Linked DNA regions of Drosophila melanogaster. The protein of the gene in region 3 interacts with the protein of the main gene of each other region in a pairwise test. Each region holds a gene or a part of one and is shown on either strand. Other genes may lie near its edges.

What was found. Proteins that work in one complex are often made in the same cells at the same time.
Region 1: the proteins of CG14627 (region 3) and SkpC interact in a two-hybrid assay, tested with the Drosophila melanogaster proteins (one large-scale study listed by BioGRID).
Region 2: the proteins of CG14627 (region 3) and MagR interact in a two-hybrid assay, tested with the Drosophila melanogaster proteins (one large-scale study listed by BioGRID).

The regions. Positions count from the first base shown.
Region 1 is NC_004354.4:19,813,246-19,817,775, reverse strand, and holds SkpC (SKP1-related C), read right to left. Parts: upstream 1,705-4,530; 5' UTR 1,639-1,704; coding exon 1,162-1,638; 3' UTR 1,076-1,161; downstream 1-1,075. Other genes in the region: SkpD (SKP1-related D), read right to left, coding at 4,499-4,530.
Region 2 is NC_004354.4:15,731,683-15,736,855, forward strand, and holds MagR (magnetic receptor), read left to right. Parts: upstream 1-2,587; 5' UTR 2,588-2,686; coding exon 2,687-2,770; intron 2,771-2,870; coding exon 2,871-2,924; intron 2,925-3,416; coding exon 3,417-3,492; intron 3,493-3,561; coding exon 3,562-3,639; intron 3,640-3,706; coding exon 3,707-3,810; 3' UTR 3,811-4,098; downstream 4,099-5,173. Other genes in the region: CG8191 (uncharacterized protein), read left to right, coding at 509-1,546; CG12379 (uncharacterized protein), read right to left, coding at 1,560-1,871, 2,029-2,241; Arp6 (Actin-related protein 6), read right to left, coding at 4,155-5,173. UniProt on the Drosophila melanogaster protein: Involved in the assembly of mitochondrial iron-sulfur proteins. Probably involved in the binding of an intermediate of Fe/S cluster assembly. Required for maintenance of circadian rhythms under constant darkness.
Region 3 is NC_004354.4:1,179,028-1,184,568, forward strand, and holds CG14627 (uncharacterized protein), read left to right. Parts: upstream 1-2,592; 5' UTR 2,593-2,774; intron 2,775-2,840; exon of another isoform or gene 2,841-3,003; intron 3,004-3,074; coding exon 3,075-3,887; 3' UTR 3,888-4,322; downstream 4,323-5,541. Other genes in the region: CG11379 (uncharacterized protein), read left to right, coding at 1,237-1,842.

The DNA.
Region 1 (4,530 bases), about 19 Mb from region 3:
GTTGATAATGATGATAATATTCATAATAATGATACAACGTACATATTTATATCGTTTAGAACAAACATATAATTATATCCACTGCATTATTATTCTTATTGAGCAGCTATATAGCATACCATTCTGAAATTTATTCAATTTTCAACAAATTACAGAGCACAAGGTAAATAAATTTTGATATTAATATTTTTATATTTCCATAAATATATGTATACATATGTACATACATTGCGTACTTTACAATTGAGAATCTTAAGTCGAGTGTGGCACATTTGGCTATATTTTTGTTATGTTTATGCAGGAAAACCAATGGCCACATATACACGCACACACATACGCCCACCTGACATTCTTGTATGTGTATGCTTTCACCCCCTAAGCACACACACAAACAAACGCACACTGGGCACATACATACATACATACATACATACATGACTAAACCAATTTCCACAGAGCATTTTAAATTTCAAGCACACATGAAACGGACGAAGAAAGGCGAGTGGCAAGCCGTAGGCCGCCCCCTCCCACATTCACACACAGATGTGTGGGCAGCAACTTAACTTACAATAAAGGACATTGCCCAGCCTCCTGCCACCCACCACCCGCCTCCCCACCCCGCAACGGTATGTAAAGTGCGTAAGTTGTGTCCAAGGGTTTGGAATACGAGGATTGGGACCCTGGGCTTGGGTTCATTTGGGGGTTTTCTGCACTATTTTACATACGTAATGCGAACTTCATGGATGCAGAGCTCATAAGCGCCAACGGCCAAGGCTTTTGGAAATTAGCGTGGCTGCCAAATCAGGAACCGGCTTAAGGAGCACCAGGATTCCGGGATTGGGGTGCTATGGAGTGGAGTGGGTCGGTGTGTGGTGTGGTGTGTGGTGTGTGCTTGTATCCCCGGGCGGCTTGGTGGCAATCAACTGGGAATAGAGCCAGAGCACTCCTTTAGCCCAAGCGAACATGAAACGATTTAAAAAGTTATGTTTTATGTGTTCTTGTTGCCAAAGTAAACTGTAAACTGAATATGTTGATAAAATACAATAGATATGCTTTCAAAAATACTCGTAATATCATATTTATTCTGGTGAAACAAATAAGTTCTCAACAAAGGAAGGTTCCAGGTGTCCCAACCGGATTTGCTCCGAAAGAGACTGTGCCTCACAGGTCTTCGCCCAACTGGGCCGTCCTGCTCGGTATTTCGTCCGGGATGTTGAACGTGTGGCGGATCTCCTCGGGAGTCTTTCCCCTAATCATATTGGCCACCGTCTTGCAACAGAGATCCACTAGGCCCTTGATCTCCAGATAGTTGGCGGCCAGTATGATTTCGAACAAGGTGGGTTGATCGACGTTAATAAAGTTGGCGTCCCAGGCTGAGATGTCATGTGGGCTTTGCGGGCTCAACTCCACGCCCTCCGCTCCATGGGCATCATCGTCCTTGTGGTGATAGATCCAGGTCAGAATCTTGGATAGGATGAACGCGTTCACCTTGGGCAGCGGCACAATGGCATTCTCGTCGTTCTCCACGGCAGAGACCTCCAACATGGTCTTGATGGTTTCGGAGAGCTTGGCGGCTCGGACTTCCGTTGAAAAGATCATCCCATCCGAGGACTCAAGCTTGATGGTGGGAGCATCCATTTTCGGTTTGCCTTGCCTTTCTATTTGCCAAACTACGTTCAAAGAGATTCAGAAGAACAAGATGGGATGATTGATAGAGCACGTGCCAACTGGACGATTCGAAAGTTCAAAGAAAAAAGAATAGAGAACAGAGTGACCAGATGTGATCACTGCGGAATCACTGTCGTCAAGTGTGTACACACTAGAAATTGGAAGTCTTAACATTAAGAACTGTAGATTCGCTTTAGCTTTTTTATTGAGAATCGCGAATCGTGTTTTATTTATCATATCAGACCTTAAAAGTGTAATAAAAAAAAGTGTAATATGAATTTTAAAACCTATATGAATGTTGGGTAAGTGCTCAATCAAAAAATTTCAAAATAATAGTTCCGGAAAGAACCCCGTAAAAAATATTTTTAACAGAGGGAACTGGAAAATAGCACGTGGGCTTACATTACTTGCTCTAATTTTTCAAAAAAACTTTAAATTAAATATATATTTTTTCATTTGAAAAACAGACGGACAGAAGGCACTTTCTACCTGTTACATACTCATTAGCGATTCTAACATTCCCTTTTACTGTATTATTATTGTTTTATGAAACACTCCAATTATGTGTAACTTGCTTTCCATAAAATATATACACTTAACAGAATCAAAATTTTCAGTTACCGTAAAACTGTATTTTGAACCGAGTTCCAAAATAATATATTAATATTAAATCCAAGATACAAAGAAGAATTTCGATTTGCTAGCTTTAGTACTTAATTACGTACTTAATACGAGGATGAGGATGCAATTCGGCCAAAAAAGTGTCCGTTTTGGATAGCAAAAACAAAGTGCGAAAATACCATTATTCGAGTGAGTTTTCCTAGCCGCCAAACGGAACGCGATTTAAGTTTTTTTTTTTGTGTGCCAGTTGACGCAAAGGCTCTAACCTATTAGGCGGTCAGCAAAAAAATGAACTCGAGTCATGCCGTCTTGTGGAGCACCCTTTTCGAGCCGTCCCGGGGATCACCCCTTCCCATCGATTGACAGCAGCCGCACATAAACCAAAACCCTAAGATTTGTATTTAATTTAAATGCTTAAAAGATATATTAATTAAAAAAAGTGAGCATGTGGACAAGAATAATTTTAGGGTTAGAAGACATGAATACAGAGGGAGAAGTTTCTGCTGAAGTAAACATATTGATAAATTCTATCGGACCTAAACCTATACTTGCGTGAAAGATATCAAACTGCGAATGTACACTGAGAGAAATTTTCTGAATAATTATATCCGCAAATATTTGAATTATTCGCAATAATTCCTTTAAATGTGAACCCAAGGAGGAGACTTATTTTATATTACTTTTGTATTTTTAATTTTTATTTAATTTGCCACGCCCACAAACCGCACAAAACTGCCACGCCCACACTTTCGAAAAACGTGTTGATATTATTTCAAATTTTTATTAGTCTCGTAAATTTCTATTGATAAAAACAAAAATTTTGCCACACCCACTCGAACGCCCTAAAACCGCCCAACCGGTCACGCCCACACTTTGGAATAATTTTTTAAAATTTTTATAATTTTTTTTTATATCTATCGATTTTTCTGAGTAACGGGTATCTGATAGTCGGGGAACTCGACTATAGCATTCTCTCTTGTTTTTCCCAAAGTTGAACAAATTCTATACAGATTAACGCGACAAATGAATACACTGAGAACAATTGCTTGAACCCTAATTATATTGCTAGACTATAAGCTATTAAATATTAATTAAAATCTAACCGACCTTACCCGCAACCCACTCACTTACATTTAATTTTTACTGATTAAAGAAACTGATTTGAAAAAAAAGTAATAATTTATAAAACAAGAATATCGTGAAGAACAACAACACTGAAAAAAAAAACTGAAATATGGAAAAACTTAAATAAATAATTTATTCTTTTTTTTTTAGATTATATTTAGTCATCTTAACGTCTATTTAATTATAGTTTTTTTTCTTAACTTACATAAGTCATTATCTATCACCTTACTCTGAGCAAATTAAATTTATTTCAATTTGTTATGTACTTATTATTGGTTCCTATAAATATTGTTATTAATCATTAGTCAGCAAATGATAGAAATGAATATGTAAAAATTAAAATACTGAACTCGGCTGATGTTTCTCCGGACATAGGGCACATAAGGGGCCACTAGAGCCATTGCTCTCAAGGAAAGCTAGGTCATAGGTACACCTATTGTTTCATGCTTTCATTCTCTTCTTGAACTATCTTCGTTCGAATATATTAATTTGCTTCCTCCGATTTTGTATACTAACTCCTATATTCTTTTGTCGCAAGCATAGACCACCACCCCACAACGCCAAAGAGCTAGAGCCGGATTCTGAAGCGTGCATCCGCCAGTACAGGTTCCCTTGCCTTCCATCAATTCTTTTCGTTACACGTAACCAGTCTGAACCAAACATCCAAATGATCTTATATGCATATTTCATAAAAATAGTTTATACTATACATATATCCACACTTTCATTATTTAATTGATTTTAAATACATCGTTTTGTATATATTAAAATTATTACCTTTTAGAGTCTAAAACGTGGAAGACTACAGCACAGTACAGATCAACTCTCATTCTAAATTGATTAAAGGTAATTATCTTTGATACCAATTATCGGTCCGAATAGCCACTGGGATTGTAATCTAACCTTATTTATTTATCATAGTCCATAACATGCCACCTTTCTAAGGTAACACAAAATGTACTTGTTCCAACACTGGTATATATATATATATATATTATATAATATTAGTATATTTATCTAGGCGAAACAAAAAAGTTCTCAACAAAGTAAGGTTCCGGTGAAGTTTCCTCTTCTTCTCTGTGCCTCACAGGTCTTCGCCCAACTCGGCCGTATCGA
Region 2 (5,173 bases), about 15 Mb from region 3:
AACCGAATAGAAAAGGATTAAACGTAGTTTATAGATCGCAAATGCACATAAACAGATTACACACTTGGGTTACTTGTTTACTTAAGTGAATGTACGTACCGAAGATAAAGGGAAGCAACAGAAAAAATATTTAAATGGATTAAAGTATTTTGATGTAAGAGATAAGTCCTTATGTTAATGCATTTTATGTTTACCTTTGAAATAATGAGACGCAGATGTAACTTAAAGAATGTGGAATAAAGAATAAGCTCATTTATCACAATAAATTTTCAGAAATCACTTCACATGCTCATTATAAATGCGGCTGGAAAGGATGGGTACGCCATATATATAAATAAATACATATATAAGGTCTTAATGTCGATCTCATTTAATTTGGGCGCCTTTCAATTTGAAATTCGATTCTATCGCAACGGGCAACGACAGATCGATATCTCATGCACAGCAAACCGATCGACATTATCGATTGTGACATCGAATTTTCGGACAGCTGACAGCTGCAGTCCGTATGGATTTGTTTATCCGAAAAGAACTGAGCCTATCCACGAGCAGCGTGCTTGAAGATGTGGCGCCGCACTGTCTCAAGCTACTCACATGGCTGCACGATTGTCAGGAGGAGATGCACTCCGAGCACCGCCATCTGCGACTGAGCCAATCCGTTGTGGAATCCCTGCTAAAGGCTCACCTGTACCTGTTCGAGTGCTATGATCGCTTCGGGCAATCGCTGGCCGAACGCTGCGATTGCCGTGGCTTCTTCGCTAGCTGCTCTGCATTGGTGGATCGACGGAAGTGTATTCGTGAGCTGTGTACCACCATCGTGAACACACGAAAGGGAGAAACTCATGCACCACTGCTTCATCTTTCGCATCGAACGTTGGCCGAGATTCAGCCTGCGTGGAGTGAGATCGGTGATTTGGACTGGTCGGCAATACGCCAATCGGATGCGCTTTCTTCCAGCGATTTTATCAATCCCGATCTTCAGCAGATGCGACGGCTAGTCAAGCGGATTGGCCGCTTATCCAGCCTTGAGGACATGCAGACCGCAATAAAGCGCTCCATGGAGCTGATTGAGTACCAGGTGTGGCTGCAGCTTTTTAGGGAGCCAAAGGACAGCGAAATTCACAAGGATTGCTACCTAATGCGCCACATGATCTGTGACACTTTATCGGAGGGCGGATCTACCGCTTGCACCGGCTTCCTGCACAATATCTTTCTGTTCGTATCGCAATCCGCCAATGAGATGAGATTCTGGGCCAGTATGGAGCATGTACGTCTGGCCGGCAGCCTTATTGCCTACCTAATCGACCATTGGAATCGCCACCTGCCCTACCTAGACTTGGATGAGATGCAATTGACCGCTGATGCACCAGTCACGGCTGTCTCGCAGCTGCCCGTGAACGAGGCCACATACATAACCTACCTGATGCTGGCCACCGGATCCATATGTCGCCGGCAGTTCGCCCAGCAGCTGCGTGCCCAACTACCCCCCAATTCCTGGACACATTTGCTGGAGCTGCTAAATAAAGTGGCATTCGTTTTCACTTAACTACACTACGAGTTTAATCATGTTTCGGCAAAAACTCGCAGTTGCCATCGGTCAGGCGAACCACCTTCTCGCCCTTCTCGGCCAGGATCTCCTCGATGTTGCGCTTGCCGTCCAGATCTGTGAACCAGTTCAGATTGTCGGCGATCAGGTGGTGATTGGAGCAGCCCTCGCAGGTCACGATAACAACGCCGCGTTGGTATGCCAGCTTCGAAATGGTCTTCATGTTCCGGGTCTGGCACACCTTGCAGGTGTAGATCAGCTGCATCTTGGCCTCCAGTTTCGCCAGAGGAATGCTATTCGTGGCCACCGTCTTGTCCGCATCGTCCTGGGAGCAGAGCAAAATAATTATACTTAACTTTTTTGTTATACATAATTTTAAATATTGCATTCCATTTATAATATTTTAAATTACAAATGTAAATAACATTATTTAATATCAATTGGGTAGTTTATTTGTATTTACAACTGATTTCCAAACATACCACTGGCTTACTGCAGTGTATACTGCGGCAAATGCACGTGTAGTTGTTGCTGCTGCTAAAAACAGCTGTTTGTGTTTTGGTTGCAAAGTGATGCACTTGCAACTGCAATTGTGGACTATTTAAAGCATCAATTTGTGTTCTTCGGGAACTGGTAAGTAGTGCGCCTCTTCTCACACCTGCGCTGATTTTATAAAATTTTTTTAGGGCGGACATATCCTCGATTTTGTTGATATTATTTAACTCAATCGAAAAGTGTGAAATTCATTTAAACTTAGAGATGGCACCTCCTTTCATTTCAAAACTAGTCGCGAGTCACGATTTTAAAAAGTTACTATAGCTGTCACTGGTGCTGATAAAATTTGCTGTAACTCACAGACATTAAAACCAATTGTTAATATAAATTCTACTGTGAAATATTAAGTTAAGTTATTAATGAAGTCCACCTGGACTCTGGGGCTTAAAAATAACTTATTTTTCAAACAGGTAGTAACCGTTTCTCCGCTATCCCGTGACACTGCCAATCGATGACATCTGTTAATGCCATCTCACGTGATACTATCGACAGTACTATCGACCATCTGGTAGTAAGCACTCATATTTTCGAATTTTTTTTGTGGAAATTCTCGAGTCAAACAAATTATATAAAGGGCACGAACCGATGGCGACACGTGTGGTGGCAACGGCGACAGTGCGGGCGGTGAAAGGCCGGAAGTTAATCCCGACGCGGGCCGCTCTGACTCTGGTAAGGAAACCAAAACCTGGTGAAATCGGCGCATGCTGCTGCTGATGAAGTAACAGTCCCCTTCGATCTGATGATTCTGATCTCCCCCAATCCTTTTCAGACACCCGCGGCGGTGCTACGCATCAAGACGCTTCTGCAGGACAAGCCGGACATGGTGAGTGACTGCTGACAAGTTGTCATCGAACCAAGGCTACACTTTAGTGGGCATTCTATCGCCTTCCACGATTGAGATCTTGATAATCTCGCCTAGCTCTTTAAAGGTTCCCGTGCATGTTATTTAAGTTTTAGCACTGGTTGCATGGAGTATAGGAAGTTCGCAAGAGGGCTTCTTCAAGCATTATATTTGACAATAGGCTTTTTCCTCAGTCAGTCATATATTTTAGCGCAAATTATTAGCTATAAATATAAGCCATGCTAACTAATTCGGCCTGCGTTAATCAGCTAGATTTTCCAAATTTTGACCCGACCAAATTTTGATGAGCATGTTTATCTTGTTGTTAATCATTTAGTTTTTAAGTGATTAAATTCTTTGAATTGAGACAGACTTATTAGAATACCGAGTTCTTTGTCTTTGGTCAATAAACAAGGCTGCCTATAAATTAGCCACACAGTTAATGACAGAAATTCGATGTTGTTTCTGCCACAGGTTGGCCTAAAGGTGGGCGTACGGCAGCGAGGATGCAATGGTCTGTCCTACACGCTGGACTATGCCAGCCAAAAAGGTAAGCCACTCTGGACAGAATGTTGTTCGGTGGAGATCTAATGCTGCGTTCTGTGTCGATTTTTGCCAGCAGACAAGTTGGATGAGGAGGTGGTCCAGGATGGCGTCAAGGTCTTCATCGACAAGAAAGCGCAGTTGTCGCTGCTGGGTAAGTTCATACCAGCTTAGCATAGCATTGGACAAGCCAGCTAATACAGAGTATAATTCGCTTGCAGGTACCGAGATGGACTTTGTGGAATCGAAGCTGTCCAGCGAGTTCGTGTTTAACAATCCGAACATTAAGGGCACATGCGGCTGCGGCGAATCGTTCAGCATGTAAACCGATGGAGATCCGGAGGAGATCCGCCGGCACCCGCCTCGCAGACAGACCTAAATTAACTAAGTTAAATGCAGTACGCGGCCCGACCTTGTATCTCATTACGTTGTTGGCAAAAGCACCGCATCCTTTGTAAATTTTACTTCGCAAACGAATTCTAAATATTAAGTTGTGTTCTATAGTTAAATTTTAGTTGTAGCGCTAGGTAAGTGACGCACCCGCTTCCTTGCCGCAGGCTGGCAGTTTGTCCTCTTTAGCCCTAGTTCAATATATAGACAAGGAATGTTCTAGAAAACCCATGTGCAAATCAAGTTTATTATTGAAAAAATACTTCGACTACGTGCATGTTACCGCTGATTGATACCCTGGAAACCGTACTCCTCGTAGTCGTCTTGCGTGTAAACAAACTCTTCAAAGTTGGGGCTGGTCGCAACCTCCTTGCCGCCGTACCACGCGTACCGCACCGGATCCTCGGGACAGATGAGTGACACTTCAAGATCGTCGGGCACCAGGGCACGTAAATCGCGCTTTAGGCGCGGCAGAAATCCCGGAAACTGGGCACTGCCGCCCACAATAAGGATGTTGAGCAGGAGTTCGCGGTGCGCTTCCCAGGGGCAAGCCTTCAGACAATCGGCCACCGCTTCCGGAATGCCCACCTGTTGCACACCAATGTCCGAGGGATTGAAGAGCAGCTCGGGCACGGTGAAACGTTCATTGCACAGCGACACCATTTGCTGTTGCTCCTCATCCTCGCGCGGCTTTCCGGGAACACGAACATAGCCCCGTTTGACGGTGGTGAAGTCTGGAAGGACATAATCAACTGTGACTTCGCGTCGCTTCTCCTCCGAATAATGCACCTGCATCGCCTGCTTGAAGTCCTCCGCCACAAAGCAGACATCTTCCTTGATCTGGTTAACTACATGACTCTCGTCCATGACGTTTAGGTGGCGATAAGAGATTAGCTCCTTTAGCTGGTTGGTCAGCGCCTTCCCGCCCATGTCGATGCGTCGTATGCCTTGGAGAACGCGCCGTCCCAGCACAAAAGGAACAACGTGGGTGAAACTGTAGCCTACATCGATGATGATGCAGTTAAGCGATTCCATTGTAGTCCGCTCCTCGCTGTCAGCCACATAGTTAAAGGCAGCCAGATCGGCAGCAGTGGTCTTGTACACCCCATCAACCTTGTACTCCTCAAACAGAATCTCCAGCGTTGCCTCCTGGATGCTCTGGAAGTTCATCTGCGGCTCAGTGATGACAATATTGCGGTTCTCCAGCGAACAACCAATGCCGTCCTTGCTGAATATGTAATCCCACACCGTTTTCTGTGTGTGCCAGTTGAGCAGGTAGCCGCGCTGGAACGCCAGAA
Region 3 (5,541 bases):
CCCACTCCTTGCGCTTTTCCATCTAACCCAGGTCCACATAAAAAAAACCCATTAAGTGGTTTAAAGCAGTGAAAAAGCGCACAGCACACAACAAGCAACACAGCAAAAGAAAAATGCAGTTGACATGAAAGCCAGCCAAAACGGGGCGATACAGGGATACAGGGATGGGGGTGGTAGGTCGGTAGGTAGATTGGTAGGTGGTGGAGTCAGACAGATGAACAGTACAGAACAGCACAGCACAGCACAGAGGAGCGGAGCAACAATGCTCACCCAGAGATGAGATAAGAACAGCCGCTGGAGGAGGACAAAGCAGCTTGACGAATTACTTGGCAGCTGCTCCTAGTGAAATCCCTGGGAGAATCAAGGAGCAGCGGGCGGGGCGGGGGCGAGCTGTGCGGGAAAGGACGAGGCGCAAGAAATTTAATTTGACCAACATTTTGATGTATCAAGTTCAGTTGAAGCCGAAGATTTATGACTTGCTGACAGAGCAAGCGGAGCAGCATCACCAGGATTGGGACGTCATGTCGGCAGAGAACAGTGCGGAGCAAGTGCATGCAAGAAATTTTATTCCATGCCAACCAGCCTAATCATTTTATAAATCATCTTGGTTTACCAGACGTACATATATATTATTGTACATATAAAGATCTGGAAGAGCTTATCTATGAGTTTCTCCATGATCATGCTCAAGCTTTAAAGTCCAAAAGTTGGAGCCGCAAAGCTTTGGCCGAAACAAAAATGAAAGTAAGCTGACTACTATCGAGCACATTTCCCATTTCCACTTGCCTCACGTAATGAGCCCACTGAAAATGAGGAAAACAAGGCCTTGACATCTGAGCCTGTTTGACTTGTGGTGATAATTGCAATTGGCGCGGTGTCTGTGACTTCAACTGTGACGCAGACAGTGACTGTGATTACACAAAGAGGAAACCTATGCCATTACCGATGGGGTATTCTGCCACGCAAGAATGCTGTATAAATCATAATATATAAATTATAAATTGAAAAGATAACATCGAATATATTAAATATTGCCTTTAAAAACTTTAACAGAGTTTACAACTTGCTTTTTGTATCACTTCTTAAAATAACAAGGAATACTTGTACACAAGTGTTCGGAGTTAACCAAGTAGTGACTGCTGCTTTAAAAGTCAGTTGAATAATTCAGTTTAAGGCTTTCTGACCCGAATTTACTCCCGTAAAACTGGAAGTGTACACCTAGGAGGACATCTGGAGATGGCTCGACTAATGGCCTTGATCATGGCGGTGTTGCTTCACTCGGTACTGGGCATCTCGTACTACTACTACTTTCGCGAATCTCCCGGCTCCGCTGCTCCTCTCTTGGGCGCCTGGCTCTTTTCCGCCTGCGTGGTGACCCTTCTTCACGGGGTGAGGATGTTTTCAAGTGCCCTGCCCGCCGATCAGCGGTTCAGGAATGGGAATCGAAACCTTCGCGGCAATGAGTCGTCCTGGGCATCGCTCTTACTGGAGACAGGCGTCTGCTGTTTGGTGCTGGATCTGACCCTTAGCAAACTGTGGCATCGCATAGAGTCCCTCTGCCAGTGCGCCATTGTGGGCATACTCCAGGCCTTGGCCGTCGAGGAGCAAACCTTCCTGGTCTGCGAGTACTGGACTTTGGGCCTGACTACCGGCCTGATCGGCGCATGTCTTCTGTGGCTTTCCCTATGGGCCACCGCGTTGCCCCAGAAGCTCCGCTGCGGGATGCTCGACTGGCGTCGCACCCTTCATCGCCGCTGCTCCGCGCTGATCTTCGGAAGTCTCGAGCCCGGCACTCCAATGCAGACCCAATCCCAGGGAAGCGCACAGAGCTTTGCCAATTGAGACGGAGGGGTGACCATTCCACTTCCACAGCCATATCACACTACCTCAGTCAATAGCTAAATTTATGGTTCAAATTATACTAAAAGCGTTTTAATAGGCACAGTGGGACACAACGGGCTGCATCATAAATTGAATTATGAATAACCATAATAGTAAATTTCGATTCAAAGCGTAGTTTCTTTTAGCTTCTTTAAGAAAAAAATAAACTCAAAAATCGAACATATATTAAATCGCAAGACCACTTTCTGACCGAATCCATGAAGCCAATTTGAAGCGGACAACTACCGGCCAAACTGCCAACCACTGGGGGCTGTCATCCCCCCGAAAAAGACTTGTAAACTCGTTAGCCGTAGCCGTACCCATATGCAATGCGGAAGAGGACCGATCCGAGATCCAAAAGCGACACGCCCCCAAACAACCGATTCGGTTTCGGTTTCGGATTCGGAAGACGGAACCCAGCGGCTCAAAGTAAAGCAAAGCAAGTCGATCGAAAGCGAAAACGAAACCATTACTCTGATGCGCGATCGATGGCTGTAAACTTGAACTTGAAGCGTAGCCAAAAGCGATGGACACCACGACGGCAAACAGCAACTGGCAACTAGCAAATAGCAACTGGCAACTAGCAACTTGCAACTTGCAACTAGCGACATGCAAGAGCCTGGCACACGCAACAATGCCGCTGAAATGCTTCCAAGGCAGTGCCAGCCAAATGCTGTTGCTTGCTGGCGCGCTGTCGTGTTTCGCACTGGTTAAAACTGCAGCCGCAGCCTGTTGCCAATTGCGGGAAATTGGTCGGGTCGTCGAGCGATATAAAAGCCTGGCTGGCAATGCAGCCGTGTTAATCAAAGCGCGTCGCTCGCCAGGAAAAGTGCAAGTGTTTTCCACGCTCCCAGGCAGCATTCAAACTCAAATCGCAGAGAAAATTCAGCGAGGTGAAATACGCATACTTTTTTTTTCTGTGCTTATAATAAAATCGAAAGGTGTTCCAAAATATCTGACCTTCGTGTTGCAGAATTAACTAAGCTGCTATAGCAGATATAGTTCAGTTACAAGTGCAGCTTACGATACAATTTTTCCATTTCGGATGCACTTCGCGTCCTGAAAATCAGCTTCGGGTATAAGCAGCAAAATGTTATTTTATAATATCCTTTGGGTTAACAAGTAAAATATATTATCGCAAATATTTTTCATGAACACGATCCCTTAACTTTTCTCTTATTCGCTACGTGTAGATGCTGTGCCACCGACACATTCACATCCATTGCCAGCTGTTCCTGCTGCAGCTCCTGGTGATGCCCCTACTTCAGGGTTCCCCCGTTTCGAGTCCGGAGATAGCTAGTAAGGGTTCCAAGTCCCCGAATGGCCTGCCACAGGTGCAACAGCAGCAGCAACAGCAACAGGAGGCCCACCTGAACTCGCTGAGTGCCTATGCCAGTGGCTATGACATGGCCCAGAACCAGGCTCAAGTCCAAAATCAGCTTCAGGGCCAGATTCCATCACAAACGGATCCGGCATTCAAGCCCTCGTACAAGATGCCCGAGATGGAGACCAACTTCACGCCCATGCAAACGGCGGGAACACCAAGTGTGTCCAGTTTACCGTCTACTCCCATGCTCATGCAGTATCTTCCGGCCCAGGCAATCCAGGATGGATCCGGAAACTCGGTTCAGTACCTTCAGCTGATACCCACCCGCCCGATCATAGTGCCCATTTCGCCGTACCTCTCGGCTGCCGCAGCAGCCAGCGGATCTCAACCTGCAATCTCCGCCGGCGCACAGCCAGACTTCGGAGGACGAACGGCCACTGTTTTGAGTGCTCTGCCGCCCAACTACGCAGCTCTGCAGGGTTACGCCAGTGGGTCCATCAATCCAGCCGCCGCCTTCCGCAATACCTATCGGATCAATCGCGAGGCCAAGGACAAACACTTCCCGCCCTCGTTCTCGCTTAATCTCAACGAGTACTTGCCAGCCGCCTCGTTGGGACTGACCGGAGGCCATGACGCCTCCGTCAATAGTCCACATGTGTATCTGCGGACCAGGTCATAGGATGTCAGCTACCGCCAAAGTCTCGCAACGTTCGAGCCTCTTTTTCTCTTCCGGAATAAAGCCTTATATGTATATATGTAAAGTGAGCCTGTGATTATTTTATGCAAGTCTATATCCCACTCAATTCAATCTAAGCCTTTCCACCTTGAAATGTTACACAATACGATACGAGTACAACCTACCCGACCATCTTGTGATTTTAGAAATTGGTTTTCCCATAATTCAAGAGCCGCGATTAATATAATGGAAAAAGCAGCAGTATAATGGACAGTATATAGCACATATGGCAAAACAGTTTGCTTCCCATTCAATTTACATAACTCCCTTTTATCTGAGTCACTGGTGTCGTTCTTCAGCGGCCTTCCACCTTTCGTTTCGTTTTCACACCAACCCAAACACCGCCGTGCTAAGAAGACCCAACAAACCAACCTAACGAAACCCAAATAAACACAAATGAAATCCAGACGTTATCGTATCTAGACTGTTTATTTGCACAGCGCCAAATAGGGGACAGTGAGCAAACAAACACACCTTTTAGGCTGGAACCCCCAGCCGAAGGTCGTCTTGGTCTTGTGCAGAATGCAGGCCATTGTTTTTGTTTCTCTTTCATTTGCGTGAAAGTGACCAAAACACACTATTTCGCGCCCGACCGGAACAGAGACGGTTAAGTATGGTTCAGTTGGAGAGTGTGTGCTGCGCCACAAAACCTTGGAGTTGCGTCAGTGCTGCCAGCCATTTGGTCTGTCTACTCCTAATTGTCACAATTTGACAAATTTATTTGGAATTTACTGGCTCAAATCGAAATAGGGCCATCATTGCCTCTATTCCGAGTCGCGGAGTAAGTAAAGGGGCGCTCAGCCCAAAGCATCTTTCACTTGCCGCATTAAGTGGAGCAAATGACTAAAGGCCTGACCCCGGTGAAACATCGACAAAGGCATACACTTCTGGTTTGCGAGATTTCTATGTAACGCTTGTACGATAACAAATTATATAGAAATTAGCTTGAGAATATTGTAAATAAAATATTCAGAAGAATTTGCACCCTGCAAACCATTTGAATCAATATAATAGATCGACTTTATTAGATCGTGAGGAATTCTATTCACTATTCATAGAACGCCTTACACTCTTCACACGACCCTTTCAGTTAGGGTACTAAACGCAATTTGAGAGGCATTCCACTGCGCACTGAGTGCCACAATTCACTTTCAATCACCGACCATTCCACATGTCGTCGATGCATCGACGATGACGAGATGATATGCTCTCGATAATGTGGAGGACGCCCCGTGGCGGCGAATCCCTTGTAATGGGATTTGGATTTGGATGGTTCGGATGGCCACTTGCCACAAAGTTTTGGCTGCGGAAATGAGCGGTTATCGATGGTCTGACTTCGCGTTTGAGTCCGCGGCTCGAACTCGATTAATGGTCGTATTTTCCTCGAGATGTATGTAGATGACTTACATAGCTGTTTCGAAGGGGTGCGCGCTTCACTTGTCCGACGTTGTTATAACACTTTAAAACGCGTAAATTAGCCTTTGTTGTTGCTGGGCGGTGCTCGCTTTGTTGCCGCTGATTGAGTTTGAAATGATTTCAATTTGAGTTGCCGAGCTTGCAGCTATTTACTTTCCTTTTCAATTAATTGCCGCAGATC